Linked DNA regions of Mus musculus: all the other regions are reported to be linked to region 3. The links are microRNA targets in miRTarBase. Many come from high-throughput screens and were not tested one by one. Region 3 holds a microRNA gene; each other region holds the end of a gene's coding sequence.
The links. The annotated mature microRNA mmu-miR-706 reads AGAGAAACCCUGUCUCAAAAAA and lies in region 3 at 1,972-1,993, shown strand. An mRNA with a match to its seed (bases 2 to 7 or 8) in the 3' UTR can be bound and repressed. Matches are read on the target gene's strand: a 7mer-m8 pairs with bases 2 to 8, a 7mer-A1 pairs with bases 2 to 7 and ends in A, and an 8mer does both.

Region 1 (3,241 bases), not on the chromosome of region 3:
GACTGTATGTAGGAATGACATCTTCATTTCAGACACAATGTACCCTAATAGAGATTCAGGAAGCCTTGGCTGCTTCTGGGGACAGTAGTCCTAGCAGCTGGGGAAGGCTTTCCGTTCTCATCTTCTGTTCTGTCAGGATACTGATAGCAGAAACCAAACTACCTTTGAGAGTAAAGATTTATCTCCTGGGTCTTCAAAGCTTTTGCCAGGTATTTTCCTGGTTCAAGCTAATTTATTAAATCAGAAGTCTAGATTTGCTTAGAGTTTCATTCTGGCAAATATAATTAATATGTTTCTTGTTAAAAAGTTTTACTCATCTCGCCATATTTTAGAGCTTCCAAACCTGTTTGATAGTTGTAGTTTCTGCTCAGAATGTGACCTAATCCTCACTAGGAGTAATGCGCCTTTTCGTGTGTTTCCTTCTTAGTGAGATGGGATAAATTTTTATACTTACAGACTTTTGGTTTTGTAAATGATTTTTTTAAAAGGCATTTTTTTCTGTTCCCCAAATTGTTACTTTCCATATTTCAGTGACGCCAAGTCCAGTGAAAGGCAAAGCGAAAGTGGGTCGCCCCACAGCTTCGAAGAAATCAAAGGAAAAAACTCCTTCTCCCAAAGAAGAGGATGAGGAAGCAGAAAGCCCTCCAGAAAAGAAGTCCGGAGACGAAGGGTCCGAGGATGAAGCCTCATCTGGGGAAGATTAAAAGTGATGTTTAGGGAGAGGTTTTATTAAAAACAAAGGAAACCTCTGTAGGACACGGTTTGGGCTGTGGCTTGACTCATGGGCTTTCAGTGCTATTTCATTTGTCTAGAATAATGTTTTTCTCTCTATCATATATCTCTTTCCCTCTTAAAACCATTGGGTTTTTTGTTTGTTTGGGTTTTTTTTTTGTTTGTTTGTTTGGTTTTTGTTGTTGTTGGGTTTTTTTGGTTTTTTTTTTTTTTCAAGATAGGGTTTCTCTGTGTAGCCCTGGCTGTCCTGGAACTCACTTTGTAGACCAGGCTGGCCTCGAACTCAGAAATCTGCCTGCCTCTGCCTCCCGAGCTCTGGGATTAAAGGGGTGCACCACCACCGCCTGGCTCTTAAAACCATTGTATGCTTACGTGTTTAAGTTGCCATTTTGTCTCAGTCTTTTCTTTGCCAATCCCCTCCCCCCACGAAAGCCATGTCAATCAATCACTGGAGTGACTGTTTGATTTTCGAGTTGTCAATGGAGGGAAGGAATGCCATGGCTGCAAAGCAATAAGATTTCAGGTGGACGCTATGGAAACTGCTTCTTGCTAGAGAACAGCAACTTGAACAATAATCAAAAACAAAAAACTAGAAAGGTTTTAATTAAATATTTGTTCTTTCTTTTCCTGTACTTTTGACAGACCAGTTGTCACTTAACATGAGTTTATATGTCTGAACTGTAAGTGTCAAAAAGAATCATGACTCTAAATTAGTACTAGTGAGGCAGTTGGGGTGAACATGAATTCTGGATTAACTCAGCACTCACATTATTTCCTTGGGTGTGGAGGGAATGGTGTTCCTGGAACTTAGTGGATTTGTTATTCTCAAAGAGATTCAGAGCCAGTGCTTCTTTTGTCTTGATAACGGTCTTTTTTCTTTTTTTTTTTTTAAGTAGGCCACCAGAATCAGTCTTAATTTCATATTTTATTCATGTTTTCATTGATTCAAGTTTTTAAAATACTTCCTGTTTTTGGGTAGTTTCACCAATGATCCAAAATTAAAAAGAGATTTCTTTGAATTTCGATGATGAATTTACCCCTCACAGTGCATTTCTTCACAGGCTGACAATGTTAAAAGTTTTAAGCAAATAAAGTTTGAGTTAGTGTGAAGCTCAGATATAAAAGATTGAGATTTATCCTTTATGAATACAAATAATTGAAATGAGGGCCCATGAACCATGCCACAGTTGTTTCCTTTCGATATTTAAATCTTTCCTCCATAGTAACATGATAATGACATAATCTCACAACCTCCTCCTGCTGCTTCCATACTGTGGAGTTGTTTGCTTCTTAGTTGGTCTGACCCCTCCTTTCTGTTTATGCTTCTTTTTAAAGCAAGAGCCTGAGCCTCAATGGGATGAATGAACTGTATTTTATTTAGGGTGCCTCTGTGCCATTGATAACAGTCTAGATACCTTAGCAAAGCATCAAGATCAGGTTTGATCCTCCACATTCAGGTCCCACTCGCCAATAGAAGAAAAGATTAGGGGTCCTATTATGCTATTAAAAATTTAGTGGAGTAATTTCTGTATATTTTTCTGCACTTAAGCTAAATTTGCTTCCTCAGTATTCTGCCTTTGTGTTTTTTAAGTGACATGTTTGTCTCAGACAGTGTCATTTTCTTATAGGTGTTCATAGGACAAAGGGTTATTTAAGAAATATTTTTACTCTGGTTTTTAAGACACTTTAAAGAACATTCTTAGATCTGCTTTAAAATAAATAAATGAATAAATAAAGCACCTAGTAGCAGAGAGTTATTTCAACCCTGCACTGCTAATAAATGAGTATTAACATGGCCAAAAATAGAAACTTGAACATAAGCAGTTGGATTATTGTATTCTGTAATGGGATATAAGGTTGTGAGCTATGTAGTTGGTATTACAGATTATTCTATTTGCTGTGGTGGGCTTGCTCAGGAACCCGTCCTTAAAGAAAGAAGAGACTCACCATTTCCACCAGGCATCTCTCCCTTTTAGGGGTTTATAACTCAGTCTTACATTCCTAGTGACATTTAGGCTTTTCTTAGGTTATGTTTCATGAAAAGTTGTGGGTAGGGTCTCTTTCAACTTTAGGCCTCAATTTTTTAACAATCTCTTTAATAATCTGCACTAACATCTCTGATTTTATCTACCTATAATTGAGAAATAATACTATCTTCTACGTTACTTGTGTAAAAGGTGTGTCTGATTGGACTTGTTTAGAATTCCTTTTAAAACTAACTCATTAGATTGAAGGTATATTTTCTAATTACAGTTCAGTTGGGTTAATGGTGTCTCAAATGAGCACACAGGCTTTAAGTGACCTTTGTTTTCACTTTTTTTTTTAGTGGTTTATAACACTCTGGTCTTCCCTTCAAATCGTGTATGCAAACAGGAACACATTTAATGTGACTCAACTGGAAACCGGTGCTCAGCAGTTAGGTGTAACAATGATATGAGGGTGTGCCCCTCAGTTCATAATGACTGGCCCTTGGCACCTCTATGGCTTACTCTCCTTCCTCTTTTCCTCT
Region 2 (3,241 bases), not on the chromosome of region 3:
AAAAAAAGTACATCGCATTAAAAAGAGTAGATGGTTGGCACTAGATTTACTTGGGGATATTGGGTTGTAATCGCGGGTGGATAAGGCAAGAAATCCAGCACCTCGGTTAAGTACTTGCTACTCAGTACTAACTTTTGTCTTTACTTGGTGTTGCATGCATGGCATTTAGTGGATCCAAACAACGGCCTTTCCTTTACTCTCCCACAGATACAAGCTGTCGCTACTGAAGCCCTCTACAAAGGCACTAGCTTTATCCTGTAAAGTGTCTATCCGGACAGATAACCGAGGCTTCCTCTCCTTACAGTACATGATTAGAAATGAAGATGGGCAGATATGTTTTGTGGAATATTACTGCTGCCCTGATGAAGAAGTTCCTGAGTCTTGAATAATTCACTGACTATTTCTGTCTTTTTTTTTTTTTCTTTCACGAGACAGGGTTTCTCTGTAGCCCTGGCTGTCCTGGAACTCACTTTGTAGACCAGGCTGGCCTCGAACTCAGAAATTCACCTGCCTCTGCCTCCCGAGTGCTGGGATTAAAGGCATGCGCCACCACGACCGGCGAATATTTGTGTCTTTATAGTTGGCGTTCTCACTCTAACTCTCTAACCTTGATGATTTCATTTTGGATTGTATAGAGAGATGCATGGAGAAAATAGGAGCAAGGTCAGTCCCATTCTGTAAATCTGTAAATAGTTTTTATTTTGTCAATAAATTTTTCATATAGCCATAAATTATCCGACTTACTGTACTGTCCTGTGTCTTTTGTTCTTTTCTTTTTTAAAACTGTGTTCATGCCGGGCATGGTGGCGCACACCTTTAATCCCAGCACTTGGGAGGCAGAGGCAGGCGGATTTCTGAGTTGGAGACCAGCCTGGTCTACAGAGTGAGTTCCAGGACAGCCAGGGCAACACAGAGAAACCCTGTCTCGAAAAACCAAAACAAACAAAAAAAAAAACAAAAAAAAAAACCCTGTGTTCATTGTGTGTGTGTGTGTGTGTGTGTGTGTGTGTGTGTGTGTGTTTGCTTACCTTGGATGTATAGGCACCGCATGTGTGCCTGGTGCCTGCAGAGTTCAGAAGGGGCATTTGATGCTCTAGAGCTAGAGCTACAGGTGGTTACAATCCTCCATGTGGGTTCTGGGAACCAACCCCTAGTCCTCTGAGGTGACGACTGAGCCATATCTCCAGCATTCTCCTTTCCCCCTGACAACCTTCCCAACTTATGGGAATCAGTGAATCAACATGAATACATTGTGGTTTTTCCACTTAAGTAGATTTTTTGTTTTGTTTTGTTTTGTTTTGTTTTTTTCCGGTTTTTCAAGACAAGGTTTCTCTGTATAATAGCCTTGGCTGTCCTGGACTCAATTTGTAGACCAGGCTGGCATCAAACTCAAAGATCCTCTGCCTCTGTGTACTAGGATTAAAGACATGCACCACTATGCCCAGCCTAACATATCTTGAGAGTCTATACAAAGTTGGATGGAGCCATATCCGATATGTTCTTTTCTTTATATAATAGTATACATTCCAGGTACTAGATCTTTTGTTTTGTTTTGTTTTGTTTTGTTTGAGACAGGGTTTCTCTGTGTAGCTCTGGCTGTCCTGGAACTCACACTGTAGACCAGACTGGCCTCAAACTCAGAAATCCGCCTGCCTCTGCCTCCCGAGTGCTGGAATTAAAGATGTGCACAACCACTGTCTAGTCAGATACTAGATCTTAAAGCTGAGTGGCTCACTATCACACCAGTGTCAGAACTGTCTTGAGACTTGCTAGTGGGGAGAGCAATGTTTATTTTCTCAAGCTTCCTCCAGAAAATTCTGATGTTTGCCAAAGTGTGAAAAAAACAGCTGAACCACAGTTTGAGAGACTATTCTTGCTTTTGTTTTATTACATTCACCTCTCTCTCTCTCTCTCTCTCTCTCCTCTCCTCTCCTCTCTCTCCTCTCTCTCTCTCCTCTCTCCTCTCCTCTCCCTCTCTCTCTCTCTCTCTCTCTCTCTCTCTCTCTCTCGACAGGGTTTCCTGGCTGGACAGGTGACTTCACAAATGATTTGAGTTGAAGCATTCTATGGTTAATTTTATTATTGTTGACTTGGTTTTAAGAGTTTGTTTTGTTTGTTTTGAGACAGGGACTCTCTACATAGCCTTAGCTGTCCTAGAATTTACTGTGTAGACCAGGCTGGTCTCGAACTCACAGAGATCCACCTGCCTCTGACTCCTGAGTACTGGGATAAGAGGTGTACTGCCCTGGCCTTTGTTCCTTTTTGCTGTCTAACTGGCCTTCGAGGAGCCATCTTAGATCTAATGCCCTGGACCATCAGGACTCTTGGAGGACTCGCAGGAGCCTGTGCTGTCTTGCTCTCCATTGCACTTTTTCCTTCACAAGGTTGGCGTCCATATCCCCCACACAAAACAAGCCATGTTTGTATTTCCCTGGGTAGTTTTTACTAAAATAGCTTTTGTGGCAATAGATTTTTTTTTGTCATTAACAAAACATAATACTAAAATCATATGATAAGCCTTCTCAGTAGAAAAAATATGTCTAAAGTGAAATTTCTCTTTTCTATGCTAGACACTAACAGTCACTGATGGTTTGGGGCATGATACTTGGGGAAATAATGTTACTCTATTGCAAGATGTGTTTAACATTCCTAAAATTATCTCTTCCGGTCATTATGACTCCTGTCCCCAAATAAAAGTACCCAAGGCTACTGATGGTTGAAAACAGCCAGTGGAAGAATACAGGTTGAGTTTTATAAGTTTTTAGTTTTGTGTTTTTGAAGTTTATATCATTTTCTTTTTGGAAAATTTTGCTTGCCAGAAATAGGTAAACAAACAGCCTTTTTTTTTCTCTTTTTTTAAACCTTGTTTATTCCCCCATTTTATGTTTCTACCTAGAATTTATTTAACTACTCAAAATAGACTAAATAATTTCTTAAATTATACTTTTTTAAATCACAGAATTTCGGATGTAAAGTATTCCTGTAAAACATGGTTGCAGCTACCTGAAGGGGTAGGCTATGATCCTCTCAGCGGTTTGGAGTGGACTCTTTCAGAACGCGATGGAGAGCAGGAGGTGGCTCAGTGGGTAAACGTGGTCCCTGTGCAAGCTTGACGAGCTGCCTTCCGTCCTAGGACTCGGAGAGAAAGCTGGATGCAGTGCTGTGGAGCTGTTAGCCCAGCACCCCGGGGCCAGATGGGAGGTGACCAGAATCAGCACAAAGTTTGTGGTCCTGCTAGTCT
Region 3 (3,241 bases):
ATCCCAACTACTTACTCTATTGGTCGAGGCAGGAGAGCCTCAAGTTCAAGGCCAGTCTGGCCTGGGTAGTGAGACACTGTCTTTTTTGTTTTGTTTTGTTTTGGTTTTTTCGAGACAGGATTTTGTATAGCCCTGGCTGTCCTGGAACTCATTCTGTAGACCAGGCTGGCCTCGAACTCAGAAATTCACCTGCCTCTGCCTCCCAAGTGCTGGGATTAAAGTCTTGCACCACCATCAAAACAACCACCCAGTCCCTGATTCCCAACTCTCTTTCCCTTTAAGTGCTTTCAGAGTAGGAAGGTACAGTATATACCTACCAATATAACCACCTACAGGTGCTTAAGCCTTATGGCTAGCTGTGATCTGACACTGTTCATTAGTCTGTCTTCATCCTATTCAGTCCATAGTGAATAGTAAAAGTCCATGCAAAATTGTATAAGTGCTTTGAAAGTTGTGATAATACCATCATTGTTGTAATATCTTATAAAAGACTTTTTGTGAGTGTCCCAAAGTATAGCCCAGACTGTCCTGAATTTGTTGATCCCTCTGCCTCAGCCTCCAGAGTATTAGAATTATAAGTTAATGCCACTATGCCAGGGATATAAAAGATTTTTAAATGAAACTTCCCAAGAGTCCGAGGGATTACAGTGCTTTCTTCCTTCCTTCCTTTTTTTTTTTAATCTCAGGGAAATTTTCAGGTTATAAATAAAGTGCAGGTATATGCTAGATTAGTTTGGACTACTAATTGCTTGAATTATAGCAATAAATAAATGTTATTATATTTATTATATAAATTTATATTTATATAAATAATATAATATAATATAATATAATATAATATATATTATAGCGATAAATAAATGTTATTATAAAGCATCTATATAAATATTGGTTTGTTAGCACTTGTTCACATCCAGAAATGAGCATGTATTTGTGGTGGAAGCAGAATTTCAGCTACATCATAGATGAAAGTGCCACTACTGATTTCTTGTCAAGAAAATGGACCAAACTGAAATAGGATTGGAAAGTAACTGAAATAATCTCAGAACTTGATTTACCCAAGAATTAATAAACAGCTTGGTTTCCAAATGTCCCAAGGTCATTTGAAATGTGAAAGGAATAATGTTTGGAATTTGCTTCTATGTGGTGGTGCATGCCTTTAATCCCGACACTCGGGAGGCAGAGGCAGGCGGATTTCTGAGTTGGAGGCCAGCCTGGTCTACAAAGTGAGTTCTAGGACAGCCAGGATTATACAGAGAAACCCTGTCTCAGAAAAAAAAAAAAATGGAGTTTGCTTCTAAATATCTAGTGAAGGTGAGCAATTACCCAGCTTCAACAATTATCAGCATATGATTGTTCACTTAAAGATAGTCGATTAAGCTTTCTCTTCCACTTCTCTATATGCTTGAAATTTATTTTCACCATTGGAAATGAGTGTTCGTTTTGTTTTTATTTTAAAAATGTGAAAGAACGTTAACTCAGCATGTGGAAGCAAACATGAAACTGGCAAGTTCTTGAACATAATTCCTTGAGTTCAACACTTAAAATGGAACTTCTAAGCACATTAATGAAGTAAAATAACCAAAAAAAAAATTACCCCTTGTTAATTTTATAACTGATAAGAGTTGGAAATGTGACAAATATTTATTTATTTATTTATTTATTTATTTAATATTTTGGTTTTTTTCAAAACAGGGTTTCTCTGTATAGCCTGGCTGTCCTGGAACTCACTCTGTAGACCAGGCTGGCCTCGAACTCAGAAATCCGCCTGCCTCTGCCTCCCAAGTGCTGGAATTAAAGGCGTGTGCCACCACTGCCTGGCCGTGACAGGTATTTTTTAAAAATTACTTTTAGCCGGGTGTGGTGGCACACGCCTTTAATCCCAGCACTTGGGAAGCAGAGGCAGGTGGATTTCTGAGTTCTAGGCCAGCCTGGTCTACAGAGTGAGTTCCAGGACAGCCAGGGCTATACAGAGAAACCCTGTCTCAAAAAACAAAAAAACAAACAAAATTACTTTTAGTAGGTTTATTTTGTTTTTTGAGATGGCTTTTTTTTTCCCTTACCCTATATTGTGAAGACTCATTGTGTACTCCAAGCTGGCCTTGAATCCATGATTCTTCTGCTGTAGCTTTTGGAGTATTGGTATTACAGGACCATGCCAGACAAACTTACCTTCATTGTTTGTTTGTTTGTTTGTTTGGTAAACTTGTCAAAATATGCCTCTCCTCCTACTGGGCAGTCATACTCAATAATTTAGATGAAACTGATTTATAGGAATTTTTGTACCAAGGATCTATTACTGATCCAGGAATTCAATTCTTCAATTACATTTGTTTTATTTAATTATCTATTTATTTAAGATTTATTTATTTATTATATATAAGTACACTGTTGCTGTCTTCAGACACTCCAGAAGAGGGTGTCAGATTTCATTACAGATGGTTGTGAGCCACCATGTGGCTTTTTATAAATGTGTGCTTTTACTTTTTATTTTTATTTATTTATTTTTAAAGACTTATTTATTTTATGTGTATGAGTGCACTGTTTCTGTCTTCAGACACACCAGAAGAGGGCATCAGATCCCATTACAGATGGTTGTGAGCCACCATGTGGTTGTTGGGAATTGAACTCAGGACTTCTGGAAAGAGCTGTCAGTGTTCTTAACTGCTGAGCCATATCATTCCAGCCCATATCATTTTGTTTTAGATCAAAATATTTGGGTTCAAATTAAAGGTCAAACCTAAGGATAAGTAAAGCTTTGAAAAGAAAAGGAAAAAAAGTACCCCTTTGACATTATCTCCCTAGCAGTGTGATTTTAAGCATGTACTACCATGCTTAGCTTTAAAATTTTTAGTGTATTAAAACTAGAAGGGTTTTGGGAAATAATAGCTCATTAGGTAAGGACCCCTGCCACTAAGCCTGATGTTCAATATAGCACCCACATTGTGGAAGGAGAGAGCCAACTTGTGAAAGTTGTTTTCTGACCCCTGCACTCTTGCTGTGGCACATGTGTACCTACATAAATAGATGCAAAATTGGATAAAATCAGGCTATCTCTCCCACCTACTTGTTTGTTAAATAAGGACCTGAAATCATAGGGCATTAAGTAATTTAGCTTTGGTTAAGAAATTACAAACATTAAAATAGTTATGATATAGCAATTTGGAAGGTATTGAAGGCAATTACAAATTAGACCTGGTAGCAGAGGCCTATAATTTTAGTTATTCAATGAGGCTGAAAC
Region 4 (3,241 bases), not on the chromosome of region 3:
ATGAACTAACCAGTACCGCCATAGCTCCTGTCTCTAGCTGCATATGTAGCAGAAGATGGCCTACTCTGCCATCATTGGGAAGAGAGGTCCCTTGGTTTTGCAAACTTTATATGCCCCAGTACAGGGGAACGCCAGGGCCAAGAAATGGGAGTGGGTGGGTAGGGGAGCGGGGAGCAGGGCGCGGGGGGAGGGTATAGGGGACTTTCTAGATAGCATTTGAAATGCAAATGAAGAAAATACCTAATAAAAAATTGGGGAAAATGCTGGGCGTGGTGGCGCACGCCTTTAATCCCAGCACTCGGGAGGTAGAGGCAGGCAGATTTCTGAGTTCGAGGCCAGCCTGGTCTACAGAGTGAGTTCCAGGACAGCCAGGGCTACACAGAGAAACCCTGTCTCAAAAAAGAATTGGGAAAAAAATGTAAAGTTTTGTACATCAAAAAATATTGCCAACTCTATGCTGGGTAGCCTTCCTAGTCATCAAAACTCTTTCTCATGTATGAATCTGATGAGTTCCAACAACCAGCCTCACAAGACACATGCATGGGTGAAACAGTGGTGTAGCTGGTACAGGAGTAACCAACTGCTTTCTGATTCGATTGAGGATTCACTCCACAAGAGAAACCCCATGCCTGGTACTACAAATCTGGCCAAGAACCCATCCTGCGGAGCTCAAAAGCCCTACAGAAAAGTCACTATTAGTTTGCTAAATTGACATAGTATCAAACTGTCTTCTAAATGATTCTCGAAACTCATAGATTAGGTCAGTTTTCAACACTGACCACAGACTTTTTCTTTTTACAGTGAACAGTGGCCAATATACAGACTTACAATTTGTAAATGCAGAAACAGGTGTCCATGTAATATTCAGTCTCAAATGAGACATCGACAGCACATCCTTGCCCCCCAAAGCTCAAGGGAACATTAGAGAAGATGGAGAAATGGGAAAGAAAAATGTAAAGATCCAGTGCTCTGGGAGATCTGCTATGAAACAACATCTTATGAACACAGCAGGAACTTGCATTCATAAACTCACAGAAGCAGTGGTTGCCTGCACAAGCTCAAGACACTCAGCATTACAGGATGAATGAGAGAAGGACTACCCACAACTGAGGAACTGTTGGCAGTTGATCAATGCTGGCAGAGGAAGACTCCATCTTCTTTGGGTGTGGCATCGAGTAGGTTGACTGTGTTCGGGTAGATAGCTTCACACCAATTCACACTTTGAGTAGCACTGATTTTTGTTCTCAGTGGGTTATAAAGAAAAGAAGAGGACAAGAAATTAGGATAGGGACATGTCAGGAGATCCAAGAGCAGTGATACAGGGATATAGGGTAGACGTGATCAAAACACACTGTATACATGTAGGAAATTATCAAAGAATAAATAATTTTAAAGAAATGCTACTCAGGAAGAAAATGAAGATGACCCATGGAATAGAAGAGAATGTTTTGAAATGAGCCACTTGATAGGTATCTAACAATTATATAGTTTATACAAGGCAAAAATAAATAACCTAATTTAATTGGCAAAAAACTTGGTCTTTTCTACAAAGATATACAAGTGATTAATAAGCATACTGTATGATTCCATCTCTATACAATCCCAGAATAGGATAGATAATCCATTAGAACAGAAAGTAGCCTGTTTTTTGTTTATATTTAGTGGAGAGACAGGAAAGAAAAATTAGAAGTGGCAGCTAATTGATGTAGGAGGTCTTGTTTTGTTTTCTGAGATTTTATTATTTTATTTATTCTTTGTGTGTGTGTGTGTGTGTGTGTGTGTGTGTGTGTGTACTCTTCATGACATGTATGTGGGCAACTTGTGGGAGTTGGTTTTCTCCCTTCTCCGTGTGGGTTCTGGAGATCAATCTCAGATCATGAGGCTTGACTGCAAGCACCTTTACCCCTGTACCATCTCCCCGGCCACCTCACTGGATGTATTGAAGATCAAGTCCCAGAGTTTTCTGCAGGCAATCCAGGCAACTTTACAACTCTGAAAAGTAGAAATTAAGCAGAAGCTGAGGATTTTACCAAATGAAAGAGCAGGCAATACACAAACCAGTGTGCTTATCGGGGTCTACCACAAGGAGTCATGCAACTGATAGGGATAGGTATTGGGAAACGGTTTGGGGGTAGTAATCAAATACATGCCTCAGCCATGAGACTGAGAGCATGGTGGCTCTTGCTTTTAATCTTAGAACTTGAGAGCCAGAGGCAGATGGTTCTCCATGAGTTCAAAGCCAGCCTGATCTACTATAGCAAATTTCACGCCAGTCAGGGCTAGCTGTTTCATATACATATATGAATGCCTTCTCCACCAAGAGAGACTGTACCCTCAAACTGTGAACCAAAGTAAACATTTCATCCCTTAAAAAATACATCTGGGTTCTGGAGAGATGTCCCAGTGGTTAGAGTGCAAAGAAACCAAAGTTTGCTTCCCAGTTCCCACATTGGACAGCTACCTGTAATTCCAGCTCCAAAAGATCTACCACCTTCTCTGGCCTCCACCGGCACCTGAATATTCTCTCTCTCTCTCTCTCTCTCTCTCTCTCTCTCTCACACACACACACACACACACACACACACACACACACAAACACACACACACCAAAGTAAAAGTAGAATGCCTCTGCTTAGAAACTTTGTAACATGGGAACTGTACACCCCAAAGGATGAGGGGCCTACTCTAAGTGGGGACTGCTAACACAGAGAGATCAGAGGCAGGGATAGATGATTGGCAGTAGGGTCCTCACCTGCATCTCAAAATGGCTCTTTTGCCTCCACCACTGACAATTCATCGGTTGTGTCCTTGGATCTTACAGAGCTCTCTGAAGTTGGCAACTTCTTTAAGAAGGAAAGTTTGTGCTTGTATATCCTCCAAAACCTCCCTAAACCCAAAAGCGCAAGCTCCAAGAAAATAAATAAGAAACAGGCCCCGCTGATCCCAAACATGATGTTGAGGAAGATGGTCTTCTCAGAGGGGTGAGACTGGAAACAGGTTGTGCTGCCAATACAAGGATCCTCACGACATATAAAAGTGCTGGACATCTTGAAACCATACAGATTGTACTGAACACCTAGAGCTGCTCCCTCAAGGGCCAGCCGTACCCCAAGGTGTGCCACATAGGCCCAGAGAAGCTTGAGGCTTTTAGCCCCTGAGACATCCTTGCTATGATCCCCTTTGCTAATCTGGGTCTCTTGCTCCTTGTTTTCCTTTCCTGGTACCTCCCAGTATCCAATCA
Region 5 (3,241 bases), not on the chromosome of region 3:
GCAGCTATAATCTTAAAAAAAGAAATTAAGTTTCAAATATTTTTAATTCTCCAGTAAAGTATTTTCACAACCTATTAAAAATACAAATTTAACTGTATTTCATTTCTTTTTCCAGTAAAGACAGCATAAAATAAAGAGCCGCTGCACTCAGGTAAATGAATAATTGGCTAAGACTTGAGTAAGATGTAGAACATGAAAATGCATTTATAGTCCTTTAATCTTTTTCTTCCCAAGCTGACAAAATACAATTAAAGCTTCTGATATCTAGTTTCTTACTGTAGCTTATGAATTATTTAATTGAAAGTGTAGTTTCCTGTGATGTAATGCTACTTCAGGAAGTCCCTAAAATTATATTGGAGCTGTGACCAATCTATTCATTTACTCTAAACCACAAAACTTTCTGCCACTCTAGTCCTACAACTGTTTTTCTAAGACTTTAATAAAGAATGGACACAGGCCGAGCGGTGGTGGCGCATGCCTTTAATCCCAGCACTTGGGAGGCAGATTTCTGAGTTCGAAGCCAGTCTGGTCTACAAAGTGAGTTCCAGGACAGCCAGGCCTATACAGAGAAACCCTGTCTTGAAACAAACAAACAAACAAACAAACAAACAAATAAAAAAGAATGGACACAGGTAGTTATTAGGTTAATACTATATAATCTAGCATAGACAGCCAAACAATAAAGACCCTAAAAGAAAGTTTTATCATTTATTTGTCTAAGCTCTTTCCTATACAACTGAAATATTAGTCACAAATCCTATTTTAAAGCTCATCTTCTAAAACAAAACAACACCCCAAACCTAAATAGTGCTGACTCAACATTTTATTTCTACTTTACTCCTAGTGCTTAGTCTAGATGTCTGGAGTAACATTTAGACATGAGAAAAGTTCAGGCATCTCAAGTCAGAAGTAAATATTTGTTAAAACCTTTGAGAGTCAGGGCCATGCCTCAGTGGTAGATTATTCAACCCCCTTTCTCAACTGAAAAGTTACTACTGAATGTCAGAAAAATCAGCCTAAAAGATAAATGAGTACCGTAAATGCTTCTCTCTATCTTAAGATGAAAAGATACATTACTTATTATATTGTCATTTCAAAAAAGGGCTTCCTAGGAAGTCTTTAGTGCTTCTGTTCTGAGCAGATATTGGGTTAGACATGGTTTAATATGAACTCCTCCAGAATTATTTATTTGATAAACCTATCTATATGAAAGAAGCAAAACCCAAATCACTTTTTATCAAAACCCACAGCTGTTAGTAGTGTCTATAAATGAATTCTGTGATTTATTTCTGACAGTTCTAATCTGTAGTATATTCACAGCAAGCGTATAAAGCTTCCAATTCTATGGGGAAACACATAAAATTCACTATTAAGCAAAAAAAAACAACCAAACAAAAAGTCATCGTATTTGAAATAGCAAGCAAATTATAGTCTCAGTAGTGAAAACCACAAGAAATCTATCCAATGTGACAGACATATTTCAGTTACCTTGGGTTTTTTTGGTCCTTTTGTTATTTTGTGTTTTTCTTTCCAGAGCTGAGGACCGAACCCAGGGCCTTGCAAGCAAGCGCTCTACCACTGAGCTAAATCCCCAACCCCGACAGACATATTTCAAATATTTAATGTATAACCTGATTTTGGAATTTACAAAAGTAATTATCTTATATAGAAGCAGAAAATTCAGGATTAAAAATCATTACTGCCAGAATTGATTATATCATTAAGTATAATCTTAAAGGACTCCTGCCTTAGTTGGAGGAAAAGAACAAAAATCCATATATTGTGACTCGCTCAGGATGAGATCTAGCTATATATTGTGACTCGCTCAGGATGAGATCTGTGACACTGTAAGGAGGTTAAGAAGCTGTCAGTCAGAACCATCTTCTTCACAGTGCTCCAGTGACCTCTTAAGAACACACTTTTATAAATACAATAAAAGATAATACTATCAATTATTTGCTGGTAAAAACACATCACCTAAAGTAAATTCAACACTGGACATAATACAGATGAGAAAATTTTTATTATTTAGTTTATTTATAAGGTTAAAAAAATTAGCCTTTTGTCTGTTCTTATAAGTAGATGTTATCACTCAATTTTTGAAGACTTCAAGTCAACTAACTCAGAACTTTAAGAAGCGTTAATGATCCCTTCTGAGGCAGCTTGTGTGTTCTACTGTTCATCAAATTTACTGTTCCAATAAGCCTAGGGACTGAGATAAGATGGAGCTGACAACTATCTCCATAATCTTAAAAACTAGGTGAAACAAATGTCCTCGTGGTCCACAAGACAGTCAAGTGTAGACAGATCACTTGACTAGCAGCTAGCGTGTGACTACATAACTTCTAGCAGCAGAACACTCGGCACAGCCACGAGCAAATGCTTTCATTCAACTGCAAATTAATTTCTCTGTAAGAAATGATTTTTTAAAATACTCTAAAATATTGTTCACCTGCCCACAAACATGAAACACATCAAAGATCTTGTTTGTCTCCATTTTTCCCTGTAGAATCAGGTGCACTGGAAACCTTATTAGTTTCAACAAAAACAGATTCAAAGGCAGCTTCCTGTTCATCCAAAGGATTGGTGGTAGTGACTCCTTTAATTAATGTTGGGTTGGTAAAAGACTGTTGTTGCTTGAGCATTGTACTCGATTCTATTGTTTTTCTGCCTCTTCTTTTACCAAGAATTTTGACATAATTTGCAGGTATAAGTCCTGTTGTTTGACCGTCAAGACTAGCCAGAAGCCAACCACGCACTTTGGGTTGTTGTTCTGAAGAAAGAGAAAGACAGCTTTTAAGTACATTTTGGAATCCAACAGAATATTAATGATAATGTATGTTAAGCAAAATCAGAGCCTTCTGATAAAGCTGTCTCCCGAGGAGCTCCACCAGTGCCTGACAAATACAGAGGTGGATGCTCTCAGCCAACCATTGGACTGAGCACAGGGTCCCCAATGGAGAAACTAGAGAAAGGACCCAAGGAGCTGAAGGGGTTTGCAGCCCTATAGGAGGAACAACAATATGAACCAACCAGTACTCCCAGAGCTCCCAGGGACTAAACCACCAACCAAAGAGTACACATGGAGGGACCCACAGCTGCAGCCGCATATGCAGCAGAGGATGGCCTTGTCGATCATCAATGGAAGGAGAGGTCCTTGGTCCTGTGAAGGCTTGATGCCCCAGTGTAGGGGAATGCCAAGGCCAGGAAGCAGGAGTGGGTGGATTGCTGAGTGGGGGAG
Region 6 (3,241 bases), not on the chromosome of region 3:
ATCAGCTGCATCATACTAGAATTAAATAAATGTTCAAAATAATAAACTAACATATGAGGTTAAGAGTACTGTGGACTGGAGAGATGGCTCAGCAGTTAAGAGCACTGACTGCTCTTCTGAAGGTCCTGAGTTCAAATCCCAGCAACCACATGGTGGCTCACAACCACCTGTAATAAGATCTGACTCCCTCTTCTGGAGTGTCTGAAGACAGCTACAGTGTACTTACATGTAATAAATCAATAAATCTTTAAAAAAATAAATAAAAATAAGAGTGAGTACTGCTGGTCCAGGAGTCTCCAGTTCCTTTCCACGAGTGCTGGGTAGATCACAATCACCTCTAACTCTGGCGCCAGGGCATCCGCTACTTCTGGCCTCCATGGGCGCTCACATCCATGTGTACATGCACATTCGCATACATGTAATTAAGAATAAATCTTTTTTAATTAAAAAAATTAACATGTGCCACAAAGCATCTTATAGTAAGTGTTCTGTTTCGGTTTTCCACAAAGCAGAGTAAAAAATCCCTGTAGTGCAGACTTGAATAACTACACTTGGCTTCCCTTTATTTATTTATTTTTTATTAAAAATTGAAATTCCACTAAGCAATTTCTATAGAGTGATACAGTGTTTGAACAGCTTCCTTCTCTGACTCCTGTTAAAGCTTTATATTTTAAAACGTCTACAGGACATGTGCTCACATGAGTATTGAGTATCACACTAACCCACACACGGGTGACACTAGCAGCTTTATTGCACAATGACCCAGGTAACACTGCACATTCTCTCTGTTTCCTATGTCATAAAGTGCTACATATAAATGGGAGAGGAAGGACAATCACTAAACACAAATCCTCCACACCTTTCTACACGAGCTTAGGGGTGTGTGTGTGTGTCAGTCAGTGCTGCGTCAGACGCAGTGTGATTGGCCTAACAGGCTTCCATTAAAAATAATCAAATAGAGCCGGGCAGTGGTGGCACACACCTTTAATCCCAGCACTTGGGAGGCAGAGGCAGGCAGATTTCTGAGTTCAAGGCCAGCCTGGTCTACAGAGTGAGTTCCAGGACAGCCAGGACTACACAGAGAAACCCTGCCTCGAAAAAATAAATAAAATAAACAGCTTTGGTTATTCTACTAAAATGTTAACATTCCATACATGATCAGTGCTGAAAACATGTCTTAGTGTCTGGACATTTTAACTTTTAAAAAGGCAATTCAAATAATCAGAAGGTAATTTTGCAGAAATTAACATTCAATGTAGAAAAGATATAAAAACTGACTAGACACATCCTTGTGATTTTCCATATTATTTCCTAGGAATTTTGTACTTTACTGATTCACACTACAAGTGCTTATGACCACACAATGAGCCCACAAATAATGCCATCCAACTGGACAGTAGTAACATGTAACATGTCTGGTATTTCAATGCTGCTGAAAATGGGCAGTGAACTTCTCAGATTTGTAAACAAAAACCATAAAACCCTGATGTACAACATAAGTACCAAACCCATAAAATTCACAAGACACAAAGAGACACGTGTTCACTATCAGTCCATCTTCCCTAGTAATTCTGAAAAATAATTCTTTGCTATAAATATGAATATTTTCTAAAGTAAGAAAATTTGAAGATAACATTTCCTGGAAATAATTATATTGTAGTGAAAAGTTGCACGGGTTCAAGAACCCTGTGTTTTTATATGAAACGATGCTTGTTACATGTGCCAGACAATGGGCATTACAACAAGGACACTGTTAGAGATGTCCTTACTAATACAGTCTGTGGTCTACAGGGAAAAAAGCAGTATTCATTTGCCAGGCGATGAATATTCTCAGTAGTTACACACTTTAAAATACACAACTTTCTACTTAAATATACTACCATTTTATGGCCTTTGTCATTTTACCTATCTATAAATTTATTTTTCTATTAACATCAAATGCAAGACACATGGCTTAGTACTAGTTTCTATCAGTAAGCATTCAAAAATATCTTCTCTTTGGACATGAACATGATACAAAATGAAAAGGAAAAAAAAAAAAACAAGCTCAAAGAACCACAATAAATACTTTGTATCCCACCCCAGCCCCCAAACAAAGGGACATGAATAACCAATTAGACTTACATCAATTAGAGTCCCTGTGGCCAAAGAGAAGGACTTCCATTGTAAAGTTATCTATTCTAGACCAGTTAAGACAGAAAGCCTCCACTCCCACCATTTGTAATAGGTAGGACAATGACGTGGAAGAGACAAGGTTGTGAAGTCCTTCTGAGTTTTAAGAACCATACACTAGCTGGGGATGGTGGTGCCCACCTATAATCCTAGCCCTCCAGAGGCTATAACAGAACAGAGTTTGAGGCCCGCCTGGACTACACAGCAAGACCCTGTGTGTCACAGCAGGACAAGACAAAACAAAGAATCACACAGTACAAACAGGTGTGGTGACAGAGACGTAAATGATATGTAATTAGATTAACATCAAGGCATGGCTTTGTTCACGGTTCTTATCCTCATCAGTCACGTGGGGTGTCCAAGCTACACATCCTCTTCATATTCCAGATACTTTGCTGTGATGGCTTCCTCAAGCTGAATTCCTCCGCTGCCCATCAAGGCAAAGGCCGGATACATTGTATGCGAACAGTCCACCTGGCGCTCATACAGGCATTTCATGTGGTCCATATCATAGAAGCTCACTTTGCCTTTATCACAGTCAAGGAAAATCCCTATACTCGTTGGCATGGGGAGAACTCTGTTTTCTGGTTCATTAGAGGAAGTAGGTGACTTGGGTATAAAAAATTTCTTCATGCCTATAGTAACTAATGTAAAGGGCTGTGAAGAATCAAAACAGGCGTCCTCGCTTCCACTGTCATGTCCACTGTCTTGCTCATATCTACAACACAACAATAAACACAGTGACTCACCTCCAGCCACAGTCTCGCAGGGTCTTCAACATACTCAAAAAATAATGCACACTGCTCTAAAGTTAACACACACACAAATGTTCCATGAACACACCTAAAGCACAGACTATAAGTTGTCCTGCAGAGTTGTCCTCTGTGCTCAGTGTCAAATTCACCACAGTAGCATCCATTTTTATCTAAATTTAAATACAAATAGCAACTTAAAAGCTTATTTCCATTGGAAAGAAATCAGAAGAATCGAGGAGCCTAATTTGAGATTAAATATGTATGGTAAGTCATAAAATAAAAAGAACTACGCTCTTATCTGTGAGATAAGTAAA
Region 7 (3,232 bases), not on the chromosome of region 3:
CTGTCCCCACCTAGTACTACCCCTAACCTGTAGCCCCAGCTACATTCCTGCACTGATAAGGGGTTCTGCCTGTGGCCTGGATCCACGCAGGTCCTCACCCTGTCCAGCCTCAACCTCTGTATGTGCGTGTGTGCATGTGGATGTCAGGGCTGGCTGCTGAGTGTCCTCTTCTGTTACCCTGCACTGCCTTGCTGTTTTGAGATGGGGGTCCCACTGAATTGGACACTTGCCTTTTCTGCTAGGCTGGTTGGCCAGCAAGCTCTCAGGATCTTCCTGTCTCTGTCACCCCCAATTTGGGTTCCAGGCATGCGCAGCTGTGCCTGCCTTTGTTCTTGGGGATTGGACCCCAGCTTCACCTGTGTCCAAAGCAAGAGCTCTTAGCCACTGAACCATTTTCTCAGGACCCTCACCTTTGTTCTTGACCAACCGAGTACCCTGGGTTTTGTCTATCTCCCAGAGGGATGGGTCACGCCCATAATCAATCCAGCACTAGGAATGCAGGAGGACTGTTGAGGCATTTATTGTCATGACGGAAAGTGGATGCAGGGAGGAATGTCTGGGAAGGAAAGCTTACTGGCTACATCCTCCAGGCCTTTAGGAACCTTGTTAAAAATGGAGATCTGTCTTGTGCCTACTTGACCACAGGTCACAGCCTTTACGAGTGGAGGGGCTTGGGCGTTCCCCTTACATGACTGATGGTCACAAATCTATGGGGGTGGGGCTGCTGCTAGTGACAGGCCTGGTGCCCTGGAGCAGGTAAACCTCCTTAGGTCCCTTCAGGCTCTCCTCGGCTTCTAGCCTTAGCTCAGCCGGGGACCATGGTACCTTTCAAGGTCCCATGCTTTATGGAGCAAGAGTGTGGGGTTAAGAGCAGGAGCAGCCCTACTGGAAGGTATGCATGCAGTAGGGATGGCTTGTGTGTGGCTGTGTACATGGAGCCCCCTCTCTGTCCTTTCTTGGTCTGTGTACATCTACCCAGTCCCTGACACAGGTGGAGTTAGGGCAGAGTTGTAAACAAGTGCTTGTGAAGAGTGGCTGGACCCTCAGGTGAGGTGGCACAGCCTCCTTATACCCCCTTCTTCTAGGGAACTCAAAGGTCAACAAGTCCTTTCTGTGGTGGCCTTGTGCCAGCGGCACAGCAGAGCTTCGGGAGAGGACAGCCTTGCACATCACCTGTCACATACAGGCCCTTACATGCACATACACAGCTCCTGACATCTGCAGACAGATCTGCACATCCAGGCACACCTGAGCCCACAATACAGTCACACCTGCATGCATGCAGACACACCTGTTTATACACAGGAAGCTCTACACACATGCAAGCACACGTGCTTACACACACACATGGACACACCTGAACATATAGGCACACCTGTATACAGCACACATACTGGGTAAACATACCTGCAAGCACACACATATGTGCACACAATTTTTTTCCTTTTTTAAAACTGAGACAGGATTTCTCTGGGTAGCCCTGGCTGTTCTGGAACTTGCTCTACAGACCAAGCTGGCCTCAAGCTCAGATCTGCCTGCCTCTGCCCAGCCAGTGCTGGGACTGAGGTGTGTGCCACCACTGCCTGACATGCACCAGTTACATGTTTTGTTTTTGAGGAGGGGAGGGGTTTGGTTGGATTTTTTTGAGGTTTTGTTTTGTTTTTTGAGCTGAGGACCAAACCCAGGGCCTTGCACTTGCTAGGCAAGAGCTGTAACCCTGAGCTAAATCCCCAATCTCCACGCCTAATTACCAATAAAAACCCTGACTCTAGTTGATGTAAAAACAAAATAGCATATCAGCTGATAGTTAGAATCAAGAGGGTAAATTTTTTAATAATTTATTTATTATATATAAGTACATTGTAGCTGTCTTCAGACACACCAGAAGAGGGCATCAGATCTCAATACAGATGGTTGTGAGCCACCATGTGGTTTCTGGGGTTTGAACTCAGGACCTCTACTTTCCAGCCCCACCCCACCCCCCACCCTGGGTAAATTTTTAAAGGGGACACAGGCATCTAAGAATGTTCTAGTTTGACCGGGCAGTGGTGGCACACGCCTTTAATCCCAGCACTTGGGAGGCAGAAGCAGGTGAATTTCTGAGTTTGAGGCCAGCCTGGTCTACAAAGTGAGTTCCAGGACAGCCAGGACTACACAGAGAAACCCTGTCTCAAAAAACAAAACAAAAACAAAACAAACAAACAAAGAATGTGCTTGTTTGTTTCTTTTGAAGCAGGGTGGTCCTAGGAATTGAACCCAGGGCCGCCCACACTAAGCGTACACGACACCACTGAGCTACAGTCTCACCCCACCACCCGAGCTCCCTTCCACATAAGGTCACTGAATCCTCATTAAGACAGAGACAAAAGGAGTGGCCAAAAAGACACCCAAAGAGCCAAACCCAAAGAGGCAAAAAGAACCTGTTATCCTCGAGGCCCATAGAGGTCAGAATCCAAGTCCTTTTAGCATCCAGAAAGAGACACAGTGAGTGGTAGATTTGTATTTGTGGTGTCATGTCTCTATAGCGATCAAAACACCAGGAGGCGCTGCCCCTGACACAAAGGCCTAAGAATTAGGGTTACTACCCAGGCCCTAGGTTGGTCTGCATTTGGCCACAGCGGTCGGTAAGAGGGATATGTGTAAGAGGAAGGTATCCTCGGGTCAGGAGTGATCATCATTTAGGGATGTAAACTAGAGAGACACCACTACCCCCCAAAGCCTAAATTCAGAAAGGCTCAACAAAAGAAAGCAAACCTCTGGCTTTGCCCAAGAGTAAAGCTGAATTTAGGAAACAGGACCAGAATGGATAGGGGCTAAGCTACTTGATAGCCACAGAACCTGGGTTGGGGAGCCCGGAATTGTGCTAAGAATATCAAAGAAGATGCGAGGATTCGGCTTCTGTCGGCATTGATCAAATGCTACCACGCATTGGAGGCCTCGGTGATCCAGGAACAAAAACAGAGTCAGATGCCACAGGTGGTACGAATGTTCACCAAGAGGCAGAGTCAGGTGGGGGGACACAGAGTGACAGCCTAGGCTCTAGGTCCCGGGTCCTGCTCGGGCTCCATACCAGGGACCCCTCGTATGTCCGGCAGCAAGCGACAGCCAGCCACGATATCCAGGCGCTCGGCGAGCGCGCAGAGGTCCCCGCGCGCCAGGCGCACGCTGTGGGCGGCTGCCAGCCCGGTGGCCTGAGCAGCCGCCAGCCTCCCCGCCAGGGCGGCCACATCGC

Region 1: the mRNA of Nucks1 is a reported target of mmu-miR-706. Seed matches in the 3' UTR shown: 7mer-m8 at 955-961.
Region 2: miRTarBase lists Rad1 as a target of mmu-miR-706. Seed matches in the 3' UTR shown: 7mer-m8 at 437-443.
Region 4: miRTarBase lists Gjc3 as a target of mmu-miR-706. Seed matches in the 3' UTR shown: 7mer-m8 at 616-622 and 7mer-m8 at 382-388.
Region 5: miRTarBase lists Pex13 as a target of mmu-miR-706. Seed matches in the 3' UTR shown: 7mer-A1 at 2,011-2,017, 7mer-A1 at 880-886 and 7mer-m8 at 567-573.
Region 6: the mRNA of Trim36 is a reported target of mmu-miR-706. Seed matches in the 3' UTR shown: 7mer-m8 at 1,081-1,087.
Region 7: the mRNA of Bloc1s3 is a reported target of mmu-miR-706. Seed matches in the 3' UTR shown: 7mer-m8 at 2,158-2,164.

The regions. Positions count from the first base shown.
Region 1 is chr1:131,930,503-131,933,743 of GRCm38, forward strand. Nucks1 (nuclear casein kinase and cyclin-dependent kinase substrate 1) reads left to right here. Exons shown (of 7, transcript NM_175294.3): 7 at 532-3,241. The coding sequence ends at 704. Among named protein-coding and RNA genes, the nearest start is that of Nucks1, 22 kb to the left of the region's middle.
Region 2 is chr15:10,492,947-10,496,187 of GRCm38, forward strand. Rad1 (RAD1 checkpoint DNA exonuclease) reads left to right here. Exons shown (of 6, transcript NM_011232.3): 6 at 208-749. The coding sequence ends at 385. Among named protein-coding and RNA genes, the nearest start is that of Rad1, 8.5 kb to the left of the region's middle.
Region 3 is chr6:120,033,042-120,036,282 of GRCm38, reverse strand. It overlaps Mir706 (microRNA 706), which reads left to right and starts at 1,972; the gene lies at 1,972-2,055. All of the region lies in intron 1 of Wnk1 (WNK lysine deficient protein kinase 1), which reads left to right.
Region 4 is chr5:137,954,453-137,957,693 of GRCm38, forward strand. Gjc3 (gap junction protein, gamma 3) reads right to left here. Exons shown (of 3, transcript NM_080450.5): 2 at 2,753-3,241; 3 at 1-1,992. The coding sequence ends at 2,760. Among named protein-coding and RNA genes, the nearest start is that of Gjc3, 7.0 kb to the right of the region's middle.
Region 5 is chr11:23,646,818-23,650,058 of GRCm38, forward strand. Pex13 (peroxisomal biogenesis factor 13) reads right to left here. Exons shown (of 4, transcript NM_023651.5): 4 at 466-2,773. The coding sequence ends at 2,475. Among named protein-coding and RNA genes, the nearest start is that of 0610010F05Rik, 15 kb to the left of the region's middle.
Region 6 is chr18:46,164,878-46,168,118 of GRCm38, forward strand. Trim36 (tripartite motif-containing 36) reads right to left here. Exons shown (of 10, transcript NM_001170855.1): 10 at 423-2,890. The coding sequence ends at 2,536. Among named protein-coding and RNA genes, the nearest start is that of Gm52355, 24 kb to the left of the region's middle.
Region 7 is chr7:19,503,982-19,507,213 of GRCm38, forward strand. It overlaps Bloc1s3 (biogenesis of lysosomal organelles complex-1, subunit 3), which reads right to left. Exons shown (of 2, transcript NM_177692.4): 2 at 1,823-3,232. The coding sequence ends at 3,033. Among named protein-coding and RNA genes, the nearest start is that of Bloc1s3, 2.8 kb to the right of the region's middle.